Kluyveromyces lactis: one gene and its partner. The protein of the gene in region 2 interacts with the protein of the main gene of each other region in a biochemical or structural test. Links are inferred from orthologs where the notes say so. Each region holds a gene or a part of one and is shown on either strand. Other genes may lie near its edges.

The links.
Region 1: the proteins of PSF1 (region 2) and MCM7 form a complex in vitro, tested with the Saccharomyces cerevisiae proteins (2 studies listed by BioGRID). The link is inferred for Kluyveromyces lactis from reciprocal best matches to the Saccharomyces cerevisiae genes PSF1 and MCM7.

Annotation. Positions count from the first base shown.
Region 1 is NC_006041.1:2,065,526-2,069,478, forward strand, and holds MCM7 (DNA replication licensing factor MCM7), read right to left. Parts: upstream 2,801-3,953; coding exon 320-2,800; downstream 1-319. Other genes in the region: AAH1 (adenine deaminase), read left to right, coding at 1-58. UniProt on the Saccharomyces cerevisiae protein: Acts as a component of the MCM2-7 complex (MCM complex) which is the putative replicative helicase essential for 'once per cell cycle' DNA replication initiation and elongation in eukaryotic cells.
Region 2 is NC_006038.1:615,741-618,773, reverse strand, and holds PSF1 (DNA replication protein PSF1), read right to left. Parts: upstream 1,445-3,033; coding exon 809-1,444; downstream 1-808. Other genes in the region: protein-arginine omega-N methyltransferase HMT1, read right to left, coding at 1-406; RAD61 (Rad61p), read left to right, coding at 1,703-3,033. UniProt on the Saccharomyces cerevisiae protein: Required for DNA replication. Functions as part of the GINS complex which plays an essential role in the initiation of DNA replication by binding to DNA replication origins and facilitating the assembly of the DNA replication machinery.

The DNA of each region.
Region 1 (3,953 bases), on a different chromosome or scaffold from region 2:
ACAAGAACTACTCTCTGAGGTTTCAGAAGTTGTAAACAAATATGTAAACTTACCTTAGACTAAGTAGTAGATGGCATAAGCTAGGTTTATGCACAAAATAGATAGATTTTGAATTCGACAAATTAATTTTGGTTTTGAAAGATAGACTGTGATTACTTCTGCATCGTTCAGTCTATCTGGGAGAAGAGGCACATTAGAAGTTACTTAAACGTTAGTATATAGTAATACAAATTTGTCGTTAAACTAGGTTTAAAACTAAAATAAGGAATAAAGGCATTATTGGATCAAAACAGATTAGTGGTATGCAGATAGTCAGGTATTATTCCATATCGACATCTTCATCCGGTGTCCTTTGCGTCGAAGGGTTAGTTATATCAGAATTGTCTTCCGTTGTATCATCAATATCGTCAATAAATAGCAAGGTGTTTCCGTCTTCTATTTGATGCCAAACATTAAGATACTCATACTCTTTGATACAGCTTACCAGTTGCAGCATAGTGAAACCTCTTGATCTAATCGTTCTTACAATAGCATCATACGGTAATCTTTTATTAAATCTACCATTTTCAGTCGCCATTTTCTTGATAATTGTGTAAATTCTGGTTGTTGGGTTTTCATCTTCATATGGGTTCTTGCGGTCGCTGTATAATGACTCTTTAGAGACTTCTACCAACCTCAAAGCTTCGTCTACATCTTCAATTTCCACAGTGTCACTGAGCCTTAGTTTTGCCAAGGCCTGTGATAGTCTGATAATTGCAAGTAAAGTTCTAGGTGTTGCTTGCCCAAACGAGAATTTAGAATCCAACGCTTTCTTAGAGTCTTGTCTCATTCTTGTATAAGATAGAACTATGTGTTCATTGACATCAGCTGACAACACAGGTCTCTTAGTCTTGGCGTATGCAATATACTCTCTCATTTCGCTCGAAGGAATTGGTTCGAAACCAAAATCAGGTTGCCTGTCATACATATGAACGTACGTGACGTGTTCTGCTAACTTCTCATCGTTTTCTTTGCTTGGCATATCGAGTAGTAAAAACATGATATCGAATCTAGACAAAAGAGCTGCTGGTAGATTAATATTTTCAAGTGGAGATAACCTTGGATTATACCTTCCGTATAGCGGGTTAGCAGCTGCCAATATGGAGGCTCTGGCATTTAAAGTAGTGTTAATACCTGCCTTAGAAATTGAAATGGTTTGTTGTTCCATAACTTCATGGATAGCAGTTCTATCACTTTCATCCATCTTATCAAATTCATCGATACAACAGATACCGTTATCGGCAAGGACGAGGGCACCACCTTCTAGCACCATTTCATCAGTCACTGGATCCTTCATAACGGCGGCTGTTAGACCTACACCAGAAGAACCCTTACCAGTTGTATAGACACCTCTCGGAGAAATTTTACAGATAGATTTCAATAATTGAGATTTAGCAACACCAGGATCACCCATCAAGCAAATGTTAATATCACCTCTGATTTTTAGACCATCCCCGACTTTTTTTTCAACACCGCCCACTAATAATAACAATAAAGATTTCTTAACATCGAGATTACCGTAAATTTCTGGAGCAATTGATTTAGCCAAACGGTTATAAACATCACCTTGGTTGACGATTTTCGCTACTCTTTCTTTCAATTGATCATCAACTTGGAAAGATGCGAATTTTTTCTTATGCTGGTACACAAACTGTGTCTCTAGGTACGTTTCCGTTAATAGACCAGCTTTCAAAGCACGGAAACCAGTGTATGGTGAAGGTAGATATATACCAGTAACATCTACCACATCACCTGGAATCATGGATCTAGTTAATGGCCCATTAATGTGAATAGTTAATGTCCTTGGGATATGCCCGATGGGCACTTGATCTGATAGTTCTTGAATTTTACATTCTTGGAATGCACTGAACTTTGATGCCCTAGTACTCATGAACAATTGTCCCTTAGTTTGATTTTCGGAACATTGGGCAGAGGGACATTCTATTATTGGGGTAAAAGTTCTTTTATTAACTTCTTGGAACACTTCATGACCGCACTGATCACAAGTATAAGCGTTGACTGTGACACTTGGCTTCACATCAGAGACTCTGGTAATGATACCACGGACTGTAATCAATTTTCCCAAATAAGAGCCTTTAATTTCTCTTACTGACATTGGTTTCAGTTTCCTAGTGGATCTGCTGGTTAACGGTTTAAAATACAAATGATATCTCCTAATCAACGCAGCAGGGAACAAATCAGCGTCCGTAGTGGCCAATTGATCCAAATTGGTTTGAGACTCTTCGCCCATCCCTTGAGCCATTTGTTGGAATTCATCTCTAGTTTCCAAGATATTTCTTTCGTTTCTCAATCTTCGTTGGTGTAAAATGACGTCCAATACATCTGTTTCGTAATCGATATCTTTCGTTGGAGGCGGCAATAGTTCATCTACACAGTTGGAGAAAAGTTCTGTGAACCGCTTAGTGTTTTCCATGATGATACGGTGTAAGTTAACTAAGTTCTTGCCTTGTGCTGCTGTATTTGACGAAGACAAATTTTCAAATTGCTTGGTGCGCTGATAATGGTACACATCGTCCAATTCGATATACAAGATATCTTGTTCTCTATTGGCAATATGTTGCAATTGTTGCAAGTACTTTGGGCCCTGACCAACTTCAGGATCCAAGTTATCGTCATTATCGTTCTCCCCAGTAGAACCGATAGTTTCCTCTTTGTAATGGATCAAGAAATCTTTGATATTATCTTGAGCTACCTCGTAGTCAATTCCGAGATCCAGTGTGGGCAAAACCGATGAAGCCATGGTACTGGTGGTGTTCTGAATCGTTGGTTGGTGTGAGTGGCAGCAGACAGTAGGAAAACTGATAACGGAGAAGTTGTTGAAGATTAGCAGAAAGTGTATGCGTAAATGTTTCAAAGATCAATTGGAAAAACGAAAGTGATTTTTATTTTACAGTTCCTAATCGGGTAGAAGATGAAAGACGCATTACCCGGACACAACCACGTGACAAAACATACCAACATAATTACCCTCCCTCTTATAGTCTATTTTTAATTTGAAATTGCAATTCAATTTTTCAATTTTCAGTACTTTTCATAAACGACCACATTGGCTTGGCTGGACCCCCGGTATAGAGAGGCAGTAACCTCAAAAATTGGGTGAAAACAACCTTAACATTGCATTATCTAAGCCTAACAAGTGTTCAATGGGCCAATCGAGTGGACAATGGATATAGTATAGGAATTTGGCATTCGTAAATGGACACCCCAGTTTCAGAAACTGAAATTCAACATTTCCCCTCGCTCAAAGTGTACCGCCGCCCCTGCCCTCAGGGATAGCCCTTGGTAAACGAGAGGTATGTCATCGCAACGCGTAAACCAGGTGTAATTTATTACCTCCCCGCCCCCCATAAATTGTTTACATTTTACGCGTTGTACCGTACGTAAACGTCAAAAAACGTAAACAAACGCGTAAACCGCACCCTTAAATTTGAGAAATCAATTTAAAAAATCAATTTAGCTCCTTCCCAGTTTACGTGTTGCAAAAATGCACTACATACGGACCGGCATACCAATAGTTTACAGTTTATGCCGTTAAACATCACCGAAGCTAATGTTTATTATTATTACTACTGTGTGGAAAAGGGTACAGGCCCCGGCACAGCCCTATGTGTCGGCGTCGTTCACAATGACACTTAGTCAGACCACATTTATTTCACCGTTTCTCAGTCCACACACTCAAGATTTCGCACAAAACTCTCAGTCCTACACACGTTTCTAAGATGCAAAAGAAAAAGCCAACAAAAAATTCTCAAAATAAAAAAAATTCGCCTAGCTGAGTATCTGCATTGTACTGTAATGTACCTTAAAACTGGAAATCAGGTTAGAACAGCTGTCTCAGACTGACTTTCTGACAGTTACCTCGTTATCTTTAGCATTTTAACTGTTTTTGGTTT
Region 2 (3,033 bases):
AACCCATCCATTCGGAAATAATGATATCAACCTTCTTATAAGGCAACACAACGTCTTCCAATTTACCACGTAACAAAGTGATCTTGTCTGAAAGACCATTCAATTCAACAATTTGCTTAGCCATTTCAATAATACTAGACATATCAACACCAATGACATGCTTAGCACCGTTCTTTGCAGCAAACATAGATAGAATACCAGTACCGCATCCAACATCTAGGACAACCTTACCTTTAAAGAAGTCCTTATTTTGGGCTATAGCGTTACGGTACGAAAGCGTACGCACAGTATCTTGCAACATCTCTTCATGAATACCGAAATGGTCATAAGAGGTGAAATAGTGTTGTTCATACTCGTTCAATTCTTTTTTCTGCGTAGCAGAATCAGTGACATCAGTCTTGGACATCCTTTATTTTATTAGCTTTACAATTAGGAAAGATATGCTCAACAATTAGACTAAAGATGAAACACAAGTCTTGGTATATGTATGGTGACAAATATTATATCCCAATAAGCTGTACACTATACTCAATGCAATCAAACCAATAACCGTTCTAACAAGTTGGTTCCAGATCAAGTACTGTTCTGTTACTTATGCCTCGTTGCCTTAAATACAAAACTGAAAAATTTTTGAAGGCGATGAGCTGCAAGAAAAAGAAATCCAAAAAGAAATCGTGCATTCCCCATAGTGAAAGTGAGGTAAAGCTAGTTAGTTGCATTTGGAACGGTTGCATCAGCAATATCACCAGCAATGATATCTACAGAATTGCAATGAAAGGTGCAGAATTCGGCGAAAAAAGCTGCCTTGCTATATCTTCTGCAGATATCCTTGTTGTATAAGTCTTTCGACGTCGGATTGTCTGACGAAAAATTGGGAATCTTTAATCAGGTTGAATACACCGTACTCTGTTTCTATTTGTCCTGCATCTTTCAATACTCGTACGTCGATGAACACATCGCTCGGCGGTTGTAACATCCCAGTCAAATCGATTTCTGAGAGTTCTCCCGATTTCAATTCGGTAAGTAGTTGTGCATACTCTTTGAGATACTCTTGTTCTGCATGTGATAAAACAGAGGAATCAAACGATGATAGATTCGGGTGGTTTGATATGGCAGAAGAAAATTCCATCCCGTTGTTATCCCAAACCATTGAGTCTAGCATCTCACTTCTCATCTTTTGGTATGCTAATAGACATCTTTTGTTTCTTTCCATCGAAAGCATAGCAACGACGTACTGGCATTGAGCGACTTTGTTATCCTGATCAGTAAGCTGCTGTTCTCGTAGGTAATCCACGTTCTTCTTGAGGGATCCAACCTCTTTCAGGATGCCACGGACTAGCTCGTCTTGATATACTGGTAATTGCTGTTTGTTGAATCCAGCTTGAGATAACTGTTGCGTTCTCTTTGCTTCTAGTATCAACTTGTTAGCGAGATCTCCGTACATTTTCGGTACTATGGCAATGATAATCAAAACCAATGACTTGAATCCAGTTCCAGGTCTTTTAGCACGTTCTTTTCCCTCTGTGTTATCTCTGTAAAAGTTGTTCATAGCTTTTCTCTTCTCTAGATTGAAATCGCTTTGAGGAAAACACGTAAAATTTAAGGACTTTAACGTGAAACGATACTGTTTAGACGCGAACAAATTACAACAAAGAAAACAAGGGGAAGCAAACCAACAAAGCCCATTGGGAGGTTCTGATAAATGAAGACGAGAGTTTATGGTCACTATGGGAAATTTCAAGCCTTGGCGAGGCGACATTTGAATAAAAAAGACAATGAGTTAAGCGATGAGGACAATTTCACTTCAACTGACGAGGAAGAAACAAGTTTATCAACAGATTTAGATAGAACTTATGAGACTTCTCCCATGGCTCCTGTCAGAGAAGAGTATGTGTCTTCCTCTCATAAATACGAGTCATTTGAAAACCGTGATTCAAAGACAATTGAAGCTGATCCATTCGATATTTTGGATGGTATGGGGTCGACATCTATGAAGAAGAAACGTAAAGTGACAAGGCTTCATAAACGAATAACAGTCGACAATGACGATATGAAAGATGTTGAAGAAGCTGTTGATAATGATTCTGAGATTCATGAGTTTCAAAGTACAATTGACAGTATCTCCTCGATGATTTCGTCATTGAAAGACTCCGACGATGTAATATCGACTTATAGCCAAATTCAATGTCTTAAAGTGGTCTCCACTTCAGCAGTGAGCCAGGTGAGATACGGAAGAACACGTACATTATTGAAAAAAGAGTTTCAAAGTGATGAAGAGCTACAAGAAGAAGCATCAAATGTCGATGAGGATGATGAAAATAATGAAGGTATTTTGGATGCTCAACATCACAATACTTCTTTTAATGATTCCAATTCCGTCATTCACGTTAATCAATTAAAAACACTCGGAGAAGGGCTTAAGTTCGAAGATGATCTGGATTTCTTACCATTCACTACTAGTGATGAAAAGTTATTTGTCGTAAAACTGATTAGCTGTTGTTTACTATTACTCAACAATACAGAGTTGACAAGTTATACTCAAAAGTATAAAAGCAATGAAGTATGGAACTGGTTTTTGCAGCAAATTAACCCTGAGAACAATGTCATGAGTTATTTACAACTTTGGATTGCTAATTTAGTACCACTGCCGCGAAGTGCCCCTCAATGGCAACAGTTATCACCTCTCCTAATGACTTGTTCCTCTCTTACAGAAAATCCAAAACTTATTGAGGGTTCAAAGATTACGAAATTAAACTACACGGATTTTGTTCAGCGGGCTGAAACAAATCCCCAAGATCTCACATTTACACTATGGGAGTTTCACCTAGACCCAAACAGTAATGAATTCAGTAAATTGATCGAGTCATTGAATAATCCTACGCCAAGGTTATTTGTTCTGGTTGAACAGCATTTAGATAAATTTATTACAGAAGAGATGATGACAAATTTATACCCAAAGATGTTATATTATTTATCCTCATATATTGAGGATATCTGCACTATCAAAATTATGGTAAAATTGACTAACCATGC